3 linked regions of the Rattus norvegicus genome follow. The protein of the gene in region 2 purifies or fractionates together with the protein of the main gene of each other region. This does not show direct contact. Links are inferred from orthologs where the notes say so. Each region holds a gene or a part of one and is shown on either strand. Other genes may lie near its edges.

The links. The genes of interacting proteins can lie anywhere in the genome.
Region 1: the proteins of Itch (region 2) and Laptm5 purify together in Homo sapiens (affinity purification with western blotting; 3 studies listed by BioGRID and IntAct, with this or other methods). This does not show direct contact. The link is inferred for Rattus norvegicus from reciprocal best matches to the Homo sapiens genes ITCH and LAPTM5.
Region 3: the proteins of Itch (region 2) and Entrep1 purify together in Homo sapiens (co-immunoprecipitation; 3 studies listed by BioGRID and IntAct, counting the BioPlex papers as one, with this or other methods). This does not show direct contact. The link is inferred for Rattus norvegicus from reciprocal best matches to the Homo sapiens genes ITCH and ENTREP1.

Annotation. Positions count from the first base shown.
Region 1 is NC_086023.1:148,370,417-148,374,724, forward strand, and holds the start of Laptm5 (lysosomal-associated transmembrane protein 5), read left to right. Parts: upstream 1-1,463; 5' UTR 1,464-1,470; coding exon 1,471-1,557; intron 1,558-4,308. UniProt on the Homo sapiens protein: May have a special functional role during embryogenesis and in adult hematopoietic cells.
Region 2 is NC_086021.1:164,189,255-164,192,810, forward strand, and holds part of Itch (E3 ubiquitin-protein ligase Itchy homolog), read left to right. Parts: intron 1-2,190; coding exon 2,191-2,290; 3' UTR 2,291-3,556. UniProt on the Homo sapiens protein: Acts as an Acts as an E3 ubiquitin-protein ligase which accepts ubiquitin from an E2 ubiquitin-conjugating enzyme in the form of a thioester and then directly transfers the ubiquitin to targeted substrates.
Region 3 is NC_086019.1:231,069,966-231,074,163, reverse strand, and holds the start of Entrep1 (endosomal transmembrane epsin interactor 1), read left to right. Parts: upstream 1-1,353; 5' UTR 1,354-1,435; coding exon 1,436-1,822; intron 1,823-3,971; exon of another isoform or gene 3,972-4,078; intron 4,079-4,198. UniProt on the Homo sapiens protein: Functions as an activator of the E3 ubiquitin protein ligase ITCH in the ubiquitination of the CXCL12-activated CXCR4 receptor. Thereby, triggers CXCR4 endocytosis and desensitization, negatively regulating the CXCL12/CXCR4 signaling pathway.

The DNA of each region.
Region 1 (4,308 bases), on a different chromosome or scaffold from region 2:
TTTATCGAGTAAGCTATCTCCCCAGAGCTCAACATGCCTGATTTTGTTGTCCTGCCAGAACAACCCTTTTCAGGACAAGGATGCTGAGGGCCGTTTATAATCTCTCCCCTGGCAAAAAATGATGAGCAGCTGTGGTGTCCAATCCGAACTCCACGGTGTCACAGGAGGCGGGGCTTAGCGGTTCCTGCCTTTCTGTCTGCTTGGGGCTCCCCCAGGTCTGAAGCAAGGGCACCTTGTCCCTTCTTTATTGCAGTGTGGGTGATTTATCCCCCGAGACACCAGGGAAAAGTTTCAAGCTTACTAATGCCAACATTTCCTAGGGAGTGAGAAAGAATGCGCAATCCCAGTTTTCTGTTTCAGGTGACCCCACAAAGTGGGTTTGGCCAAGGGTCTCCCAGATCACCTCCAGAGGTTATAGACTGTAAGAGAAAGAGCCTATTACAGGGCCTGGTCCATACTCATGCCTATGGCTTCTCACAGCGACAGTTCTCTCCTTCAGAGCTCAGAACGAGGAGGTGGAGCTGTGTGAGAAGCTTGGCTTCAGGGAGAGCCCCTAGGGCAGCGTTTCTCAACCTTCCTGATGCTGCCACCCTTTAATACAGTTCTTCGCGTTGCGGTGACTCCAAACTATAAATTTATTTTTGTTGCTACTTCATAACTGTGATTTTGCTGTTATGAGGTGTAATGTACATGTCTGATATCCATCATATCTGATGTGTGACCTCCGTGAAAGGCAGGTTATGACCCGCAGGTTGAGAATTACTGCTCTGGAGTCAGTTGGCCTCCGTTCCAGTCCCCACTCCTTTTGAGACTGCAGGCGAGGAATGACATCATCCTGTGCCTCAGTTTTTCCATCTGTAGAAATGGGGATAAGAGTAGCACCTCTTCCTGGAAAGTGGTAGCATATGCCTTTGTTAGGGAGAGGCAGGCAGATCTCTAAAAGTTCCAGTCCAGCCTGCTCTACAGAGTGAGTTCTAGGACAGCCAGGGCTACACAGAGAAACCAAACCAAACCAAAACCGAAGAACAGTTCCTTCTTGGAACAGCCCAGGTGAGGAGCAGAGGGACTAAGCCCCTAGGGTCTCAAGGAAGCAGTTTACTGACAGCTGCTGTTTTTACAACCAGGCAGATCTGGGTTTGAATCCTGCCATTAGAATTACTGTTTTATCTGATTCTTCTTCTAGAAAAGGGCTTCTAGGGGTGGTATTCAGCATCCAGGAAGCGGAGTGCGTATAAATGCATAGCCCGGCCCTGGTGAAGCATTGGAGCCCCACTCGGGCTCCCTGATGTCAACTGTGACAAACCCTCTTCCCTCCCCACTGCAGCTGCTACATCCCAGACTTACAGACCTGGCCCCTACCATCTGAGGGCAAGGCGGAAGTGAGGCGGACAGCCCGCGGCTTCCTCTTTCTTGCCCTGCTGTGGGCCCAAGACTCCTTACTCAGAGCCTCGGAAGAGGGGACCGTGCACCATGGCCTCCCGTGCAGTGCCAGTCAGGCAGACATGCTGTTGTTTCAATGTCCGAGTTGCCACCGTAGCCCTGGCCATCTACCATATAGTGAGTATTGGGGTGTCTGGTGTGTGTGTGTGTGTGTGTGTGTGTGTGTGTGTGTGTGTGCGTGCGTGAGGACGTACTGGGATCTTCCAACTGGGGGATGGCTATCTATTACTTGTCTGTGGGACCCTGGACAAGCTGTGTGCTACTGGGTGCCTCAGTATTTCCCTATGGAGTTGAGCGGAAGAGTGTCCTTAAGGTTGTAGTGTGCGAAGGGGAGAGTAGGCTGGCAACGGGGAGGAGTGCAGCTTGGGATTGTTCCAGGGCTCCAGGCCACACACACACCTGGGTGTAGGGCTTTCTGGGTCCTATCCTAGCCTGGGCTCTGTCTAGGGTTACACTTTTGGACTTCTAGTGGGGACCAGGGAAACTTTCCTCTCAGCTCACAGCTCAGCCAAGCCACCGCCTTCTCCCTTCAAGGATAACTTAAGCTCTGTGTTTGGGGAACTGCTTGGGGGCCGCCAGCATGTCGCAGTGGCTGTCACTGTCACAGTGTGACCCCAGGTCTAGTGTTAGTCCCCAGGGATAAGGCTCTCCCTTTGGAGTGGCCGAGGGTTGGAGTCTCTGTTCTCTTCTGCTGGGATTTACCCCTGGCCCCCGCCCCAGGCCACAGTTAGCTCCCTGAGGCCCAAACATTTTCTGGCTTCAGTGACTCAGACAGAACCTGTGGCTAACAGCTCTCCTGGGCCTGGAAGAGCTTCCTCAAAATCAACCCAAATCAGTAGGCTGCTGCACAGGGCCTGGTGACATCTGCTTCCGGCCACAGGCAGTGTGACCAGGCGGTGGTACAAACCAGTTCTGTCCTTAAGCCCTTCTGGGTGCCTCTCTGCCCGCCCCCCCATCATTCCCAGTCTTTGCTGTGCAGTATCAGATGACTTGTTTAACCTCTCTGAGCCTGTTTCTTTAGATCAAAAACAAAGATGGGACGATAAGAGAGCTGCATGTTAGGTGTCTGTGTGGGTGAAGTTGATAACTATAACTTGCGAGGGACGTGTGCAACATGCCCCCACCCTGACTTTTCATGAGTGTGTCCTGACCCACCGGTCCACCTTGAGCAGGGGTTCTCAACCTTCCTAACGCTGCAACCCTTTAGTACAGTTCCTCATGCTGTGGTGACCCCCTTCAACCATAACATCATTTTCATTGCTACTTCATAACGGTAATTTTACTACTGTTAGGAATCGTAACGTAAATATATCTTTAGAGATAGTCACCAAAAGGGTCGCGACCCACAGGCTGAGAACCAGTGATCTAGGACCTGGCTTGGGGGTGAGGAGCTCAGAGTTTGTCCCACAGCCTCAGCCAGGACAGGAGCTTTGAGGGGCGGTAGCACTCTGTCTTGGCATCGAGTCTTTCGGATTGTCATCTCTGAGATGGCACAGCATTCTGGGAAGCATGTGATGAGGGTCCTGATGCCACCTCTGTTCGAGCCAGCTGTTTGAGCTCCTGGGAAAACCCTACTTGGGACTTGCTTCCTTATCTAAAGTGGGGACTAGGGGCCGAGGATGGGAGTTTTGAACGCAGGTATTTGCAGTATGCTGGGAGGGGTGGTCACTAAGTGGCTTCAGTGGGGTGGAGGGTCTTGTAGTTGCTGGGACCCTTGGTCCATCTGCTCTGGTGGCCCCGTCCCTGCCTTTCAGAGAAGCGCTTTCTCTCCAATTGTCTGGCATCTCAGAATGTCGTAAATATATTAAAAAGTAAATAAACCAGGCAGGCCGTATCATGCAACTGTTGTGGCCTCTCGTCTTATTGGTGTGGTCCAAGCACCTCAGCTGTGGACGCATCAGTGGTGTCCTGTTTCCATAGAGACCCAGGAGACTGTGGGTCAAGTGATCACGGGTGGGGATGCTGCAGTGTGGGAGGGGGAGTGTGGATGAGGAGCTGGTGGGTGTGAGGAGGTGAGATGTGCCTGGTTCCGGAGCCGACTGAGAGGGTTGGGGAGGAGGAAGTGAGGAGCGCTTTGTGTAAAGTTGAGCCTTTGAGCCTTTCCTGGTGCTCCAGTGTTATTTAGGGCTGGGCCATTCTTTGCATTGGATGAGCAGGTCACCTCCTAGCCACCGTTCAAGTCCCTAGACGTGAGCCATGATTGTGCAGTCTGCAAAACCCACTGCTTGGTATGGGAGTCATTCAGAGCCGTGGGACGTTCTCGAGCCACGGGGTGGGGGTGTAAGATCAGAGAAACCTGGAAGGGAGATACCCATCCCAGGGACTGGGTTAGGGTACACACACAGATGGTCTTCCTGCCCCCCTTGGCCAGATCCCCTTTTTTCTTCCCACAAGAAAAGGGCTAGGGGGCTTTCCTTTGGCGCAGCAGCTGGGTGACAGGTGTGCCAACAGGACCTCAAACATCTGGGTAGAAAAAGAGAAGCCACCACCAGATGTACCAGTCACTTGTGTTAACGTCATCTGGAGCCAGCCATGGGTGACATCTCTGTACGTTGAGAGCTATTTGTGCACTTGGCCCCTGTGGGGAGGATTAAATTGGGCCATTGACGCCCGAGATGGGGCCACGCTTCGTGGAACTGTAGGGTACAATTACAGGAAGATTCTACCTGGCCAACAGGTCTGTGCTCTGATGCGTCAGGCTTCCGGCTTGCCTTGGGCACAGGGGAATGAGAGCACGGTCCCCAGCTGGCCCCTTGCATTCTTGGATTCTAAGTTGGTGGCAGGGAATAAGGAAGGGAGAGGGGACACTGGCAGACCTTTCAGTAGAGAAATCCCTGGGCTCCTTCCTGCTGTGTTCCCATGTCTATT
Region 2 (3,556 bases):
TAAATTATTTATTTTGTACAATACCCCTAGGGACACACAGTTGACTTTGTAGGGGCTACTGGCAGCAGCAGGGAGTCAGATTCACACTAAGAAAGCTGTTGAGGTTTGGTCTGTTGCTATGTATTGTATTGTAATGCTAAATTCTGTATCCTAAGCTCTAGGCCTGTGAATGAATTCTCACAGTTACAGGCTTTTGTTGTGCAAACCTTGTTTCCTAGTTTAAAACTGTTGGTTAAATAAGATAGGTGGGTTTTGAGTTACCTGGTTGGAGGCGGAGAAGCTAGAGGCCAAGACTGAATGGGGAGAGGGGACACAGTACCAGAGAGGAGATGGGCTGTGGCACTAGCGCAGGCCTGGAGAAACACCAGGCATCTAGGGGACACCGCTGGGGTGGGGAGGTGGCCAGGCCAGCAGTTAGAGAAGCAGATTAAAGGTTGCCCCTCAGTAATTATCAAAGCCAAATAAAATAACCATAGTCCGAGTTACACGTGTTTGTAAGCTAGCCAGGGGCAAGATTAAAATTGGTTCTACTACAGAAAGGAGTGTGGTTTTAATGGAAGCCACTTTTTACATTCATGAGCCTATCTGAGTGTGTGCATGTCTGTCTGTGGGCGTGGAGGCGCTGCAGTAGCATGCGGTAGGAAGTCACAGGATGCTCTACACAGTCAGTTTCTTCTTCCACCTTCTGACCCAAGGCAGCAAGCTCTTCCCCAGCTGAGCCATTTCACCAGCCTAGGAAGTAATTGGTTGGTTTTTGTTTAAGGTAGGGTCTCATTAGGCAGCCCAGGTCAACCTTAAACTCAGGATCCTTCTGCCTCATCCTTAACATTCTGAGTTTATTAGCAAGGTGTGGACCTGTGCTCAGTTTGGGAGATTTTTGGAGGGTTTTTTTTTTGTTTGTTTTTTCTTTTTTTCTTTTTCTTGTTTTGAAATGAGCTGGAGAGAGCGATGGCTTGGTGGTTGAAAGCAGCTTCTTAGGTGACCACCACCACCTACTCTAGCTCCAGGGACCCTGACACTCTTTCTTCTCTGGCCTAAAAAGGCACCACACACATGTGGTACACAATCAACACAGACAAGCAGATACATGAAGCAGATGTCTTACTACATTTGTACATGGCAGGGCCATGAAGGATTTCCTTCATTTGTACCACATGGGTCTCAGGGACATAACTTGGGTCATCTGACCTGCTGAGCCATCTAAGAATATAACTGGTTTTGCACTCATGTTGTACACGTATGTTTTAATTCACCAGCTCTTCATAAACATACTGACAAAGAGATAACAAAGCTCAGTTATCTTCCTTCATGAGTAACATCTTCAGGAGCAGCTTCCTTGCTACCTTATGAAGATGGCATTGCACAAATGTGAGGACACTTAGGACAGGGATGGCGGCATAAAGCCTGCAGTTCCAGGGCTTGGAAGTAAAGGCAGCAGGGCTGGAAGCCCTGAATCACCCTAACTATACAGTGAGCTGGAGGGCAGCCTGGACTGTGGGACCCAGCCTCAAGAAACATACAGACTGCCTAGGAAGCGCAAGGCCCTGGGTTCGGTCCCCAGCTCCGAAAAAAAGAACAAAAAAAAAAAAAAGAAACATACAGAAACCAGACCCTGCTTTAAAAAAAAATCTATGGCTCTGCTGGAGAAATTCACAGCTAAGAACAGAACAGGAGACTCTAGAGGGAACAGAGTATTAGGTGAGGATCATTTTAGTTTAGTTTGTTTATATGGATTTTGTTTGAGACAAAATCTTCCTACATAGACCAGGCTAGCCTAAAACACACAGAGGCCCATTTGCCCCTTCCTCTTGTTGTTGGGATTAAAGGCTTGCGCCACCACAGCTGGTCCCTCATTTCGTATTCTAACATGATACACCTAAAACCACCTGCATTTACAGTAAGATTGCTGACCACTGGGCCACAGTGGGTAGTTGGAGCAGCAGGAGAAGACTGGCATTTGCTGAGGGTCTGCTAAGTACCTGCAAGGTGCTGTGTGCCTGTTTCTAACTGTACCACCGTGGTGGGTGCTGCTGCCCCAGTTTACCAGAGAAGACACTTGGAAGGGTAAAGGCAGTTCTTGAAGGCTGTGTGGTTTAATCACACATTGTCAGACCTCGGAAGTGATGCTGTGGGCACTGCCTGTGCATCTTTGTAGTTTCCTTTTCTCAAGCCAACAATTCTTTCTTTCAGTTTTAACCGCCTGGACCTCCCACCCTACAAGAGCTATGAGCAACTGAAGGAAAAGCTGTTATTTGCCATTGAAGAAACAGAAGGATTTGGACAAGAGTAATTGTTGAGACCTTAGGCCACCAGAGGCCAGGGACTCGTCTGCAGTGTCTGTCCCTTTCCTTCTCTGCCTGTTGCACATCTTATTGTAAACTTGGACTGTGACTAGAGAGTTATCTGAGAGTAAGTAAATTAATGTTATCGTTGAGATCTTCCAGTCATTCTGGATTTCTACTCAACGTTTCCAGAAAGCAGATCTACAAACAGTAGTCAGAAACTTAACATGAGATTTAACACAGCGATGAATTCTCCCTGTCTTACTCCACTAGATTGTTCCCTTAACAACAGTTTGCTGTTTGTCCGGAGTCTCACTTGGGCGCAGGTCTCTTAGTGGCTGTTGTAAAGGGCTTTGCAGGGACATCTCAGAAACTGCAGTACACAAGGTCTTCCTGGTAAAGCCTCTAGCTAAGAGGTGCAAGCTTAACCCAGCGTCTGGGCACACGAGCAGCTGCAGCTTGTGCTCTCCCGCTCTTCTCAGCCTGGCCTGACTGTTGTTTTTCATTCCTGAAGCATGACCAGTGCACCATCCTGCTGTTATTTCTGGAAGTGACGCAGGACTTGCATTTCTCTACAAAGTAGTTGTGTCTATTTGAATTCAGGGAAAACTTGGTCCCCGCCAACATATGACTTCATACCTCTCTTCATTCAGTTTGTAATTGTTTATTGCCTTGCACATATGAAACCATACTTACAGACAGTATCAGCACTGTGGCTCCCTCACGGTTTTTAGAAATTTATCTAGAATTAAAATAAGTTCAGATGAATTCATGTAAGATCATTCCTGATTTTTAAATTCTACACATAAATTAAAGCTTAATGGTGTTGATGTAATCCAACACCTTAGTTACATTTCATCCTTGCTAAAATATTCAAATTGCAACCATTTTCTAACACAGATGGAGGTCAGTTCAGTGGTGCAGTGTCTGCAGTCAGAACAGCATCCAGCAGCCACACAGCTGCGCTGTCTTCACACTCCACTCCTGACACAGCAGGAGCCGTTTCTACCTTCTTCAGGTCCTGATCCGCAATAGTTTTCTCACCTCTAAAAATTTTAGATCTCCCTTTTCTTTCCATGACTCATTTATCTTAGACTGCTCCTTTAGTAACTGATGAATGCACTTTGACCTTCTCTGTAGTTAATTCACCTTGGCTTAGCATTAGACTGTCAAGATGGCTGCCGCCATAGACATTATGGGCAATAGGATGAAACCTCAGCCAGTTGAGTCCCTTTTGTAGCCAAATCCCAAAATCAGCCTTATTATTCTAATAG
Region 3 (4,198 bases), on a different chromosome or scaffold from region 2:
AGAGAATGTCTGAACACTCAAGCAGACATACTGTGTTGCAGGCTGTCATCCAGCCTTAAGAATTAAATACTTTTAAACTTGTGTTTAAAAGAGAAAAGTTGTAACTTAACTCATCTTTACGTGCCATGGAAGAGAACCTATTGTAGGTTTTTGTTTTTAAGTACACGAGGCATCAGATTTTCCGTGTTCATTTAAAAACAAAACAAAAGCCAAACTACTCCCCACCCCACCCTCACCCCCACCACCCCGGACTTTGAAGTTTATTCCTGGGAGCAGTCTGAATGGAAGTGCCAGGTACTATTAAACACGGGTGGCTTTATGACTTAAAAGGTGTGCATGTAAACACCTGTGCATTGGTGATATATATCACATTCCGTGACATGATGTTCAACATAAATACAGTCTTCATGTGCAGAGCACACAGACAAACCTCCATTTCTCTTGTTTCACTGAGCAGGAGGACATTAGATTCCCTCACCTTTCCAATAAGTCAAGCTTTCAAATGCTACAACTGGCTGCAAACTGACACTGCTTTGGTTCTTACCTGGAAAAGAAGTTCACTATCACCATCTTACCTATGACACCTTAGACATCTAGGCATTCTAGTAGGGGAAACTTTTTGTGCAAAGGTGAATAATTGCTTTTTTGCCCTCAAAGCTCGATAAATATATTATACATTACCAAGGCAGATTAAGATTTTATTAGACCATTTCCTGAGAAGTTTGGGAGTCAGTGTTCTATCAGGTGATGCCAATTAGCTCCGGGTCAAAGCTAAAAGGATGTGACCCCTGCCAACTGCACAGGGCCGCCCTGGGCTCTTCCATTGTGAATGCTGAGTAGTGACTTCCAAGGTAACCTGGCCTTGCCACTATTGTTTCCACTCTGGTGCTGGGAAAGCACCCTGTTACCTCCCGGCAGAGCTGCAACGACAGAACCGGGAATTCTCCGTAGAAGCCATAGATACGGTTGCATTCCCGGGCGGTAACGTCCAGCGAGTGTCCTCTTCCCCGCTAGGACCTTTTCCCGTCGGGTCGCCCACAGCACCTCCTCCGGGCGTGGAGGAGGAGGAGAAGCACGCGGGACTCCTTCCTATTTAAAGGTCGCCAGGTCCCTCTGAGGGACCTGGGTCAACGACGCGTCCCTTGGCGCCACGGTTGGGGACAGACTCTGAGAACGGTTGGGCCGCTAGTTGCGGGGCCCCCGCCGTTCTCGGACACTTTTCCCGGGTGGACCCCAAGGCGACGGCGCACTTGTCACCGTGGGTGACCGAGAGGGGACCGCAGGGGGCGGGCCCCGCGGGGCAGGTGGGCGCGGCCGGCGCTGCCCGCCGCAGCAAGTGGTTGGGCCGTGCGCAGTCCGTCCTGCGCGGCGCCGGCGCGGGTGCCCGGTGCGCGGCGCCCTCCGCTCCGCTGCGCCGCCCGCCCGCCGCGCGCCCATGTCTCTGCCGGTGGTGCTCCCGGGCTCCTGCTGCCCGGTGGCGGGGCTGTCGGGCGGACCCCAGGCTGGGGGTCCTGGCGCCGCCGCCGCCGCCGCTCAGGAGCCGCCGCTGCCCCCACTGCGGCCGCGCTGGCCCCGGGGCGCTCTCCAGCCTCCAGCCCGTCCCCGCTGCGCCCCCGCCGCCGTGCTGGCCCCGCCGCCCGCGCTCGCGTCCCGCCGCCCCGCCGCGCCGGGCTCCGCGCTGCTACCGGCGCGCCCGCTGCTGTCGCTCGGGCTCCTGCAGCTGATCCTGGGCTGCTGCATGGTGGCGCTCAGCTTCGGGGCGCTGTCGCTGAGTAGCTCGCCGCAGGTGAAGAACTCGTGCCCATTCTGGGCAGGCTCCTCGGTGAGTACTGAGAGTTGCGGGGCAGTGTGTTGTGGAGGGTCCCTTCCATTGTTCTTGTTTGACCTCTTTTGGGGAGCGCAGACCCTAAAGCCACCTGAAATGTAGGCGACAATGAGTGGGGGTGGGGTGTGGGAGCTAAGAGTCGTGAAGCAGTCAAGTTGAAGGGGGAATTGGATTGCACTTGGGCAGTGTCTGTCCCTTGCACGCTAAGGATATTGTTTCCGCCAAGTTAACATTAAGCACAGTATCAGGCTCTTGGAGAGCTTGGCATGAGAATGGGCGTAGAAGAATTTAAAACTTTACTTTTGGCCACTGAATACTTTACAGCATTGGCAAAGTAAACTCCGAGAGGACCAGGGTTTTCCTCACCGATACACCAACAATACCCGTACAGGGTGGGGCACTTTTTAGAATGGACAGAGTGACAGATTGAAGAGGGGGAGGTGGTCGACTTGTTTTTATTCTTCATTTAGACACGAATGAATGAAAGAGTTTCTGGAGTTGGATGACTGAACCCTGAGGAGCTCTGAGGTAATAGGAGGTTGTGTGTGACTGATGGCTTGTACCTGGTCATTAAAGAAGGGCTCAAACCCTGGGTGGGTTCCTGGAGCCACCAAAACTGCTCTGCAGAAGTGGATGCTCAAGAAACAGAACCTGTCATTATGGACGCACACCCCAGGACTCCAGAAGTTGGGGCAGCTAGCTGGGATGTCTGCCCTACCGTGGCACCTGGCCCTGCCTCCTTGGCCAATGGGGCATAGGGAGGCTCGGCTGTCAGTGAGCAAGCATTTGTAGGCTGGATGGCTGCTCTTCCCCGCTTCCGAACTGTATCACAACTTTTAAGGCATCCAACCCCTTGAGGTTTGCCAAGGGCGCTGGAGACTTGGAACAGGTCCTTGTGCCAGGCCTGTGGAGGATGAATACAGCAAATGACCTTTCTATAAAATCCCTACGACGCCTATAGCTCTTTCTGTGATCTGCAGGGAGTGCCCGTTTTGTGCTCTACTGGTTAGAACACAGTCAGAGTCAAGTTTAAAAAAAAAAAAAGTGGGAGAACATATTGAACCTCGAGTAATTGTTCAATTAATTGTTCGAATGAGGACATTGGGAACATGAGGTTTCTCTGACCTAACCCAGAATGTTGCATTACCTGTTATCAATCTATACTTCTAAAGTCCTTTGCTAAAATGCTTCTGATGGGGCCCCAGTTTTCTGTGCTCTAGTGAGTGAAGTCCAGAACTTAAGTATTAGGTGGACAGAGTTCCACCCTGTAGTTCTGACCCTGGACTCCGATACTATCTTTGTGAGCGCTGGAATACTTTGAAGTGTGGGAAGTCTATTGAATAGGAATCAGAGTACTGCCTCCCCCACCCTTTGCCAGGCTGGTCATAGAAATGCTTGCTACACTTCTTTCTTCTAAGTACCCTGGGCCAGAGTCTTGTGTGTGTTTTATGGATTTACTCTTTGTAAAATCATGATCCTTTGTTCGCTCAAGATAGCTAGTTTATTAAGAAATATTTGTGGGAGGTGCTAGGGAGATTGCCCAGTCAGTAAAATGTGTGCCGTGTAAACATGGGGACTTGGGTGTGGATTTTTGGAACCAACCCAAAAAGCTGGGTATTGGGAGAGGGGAGCCTGAACCCCAGTGCCTGGAGTGGGGTCGGAAGAAGATGGATACAGTGAATCTTTGAAGTTCATTGGGCATTAAGGCTAGCCAAATGGGTGAGACACCCAGTCTCTAAAAATAAGATAAGATGAGGAGTGTACCCAGTGTGTTCTCTGCCACCACACACATGCAGACATACTAACAAGTACTCACACTATACACATAACCTGTACACACACACACACACACACACACACACACACACACACACTCGAACACACATTGTATTTGCTTTCCTCTAAAATTAAAATCTGAAATCAGTTTGCAATTATGAATTCTTTCAAAGGTAAGTAAAGGCTCTTAGCTTCATTGAAGCCACAATGGGATTTGACAAGAAGGAAAACAAAGCTCACAGACCGGAATGTGCGGGATGGTAAACTGGAATGCACAGGATGGTACCTGGGCTTGCCACTGGCTGGGCTTGTCCTCAGGCACAAGCAAATCGGACTAAGAAGGAATCTAGGGTTTGGAGTTGAAAGGGTCGTGCTCGCTTCGGCAGCACATATACTAAAATTGGAACGATACAGAGAAGATTAGCATGGCCCCTGTGCAAGGATGACACGCAAATTCGTGAAGCGTTCCATATTTTTATTTGTATCAAAAATAAATAAGTGACCATGTGCCAAAAAAAAAAAAAAGAAAGAAAGAAAGAAAGAAAGAAAGAAAGGATCGCTTCTCTAAGCCATAGTTCAACCTGTTCCTAAGTCCCT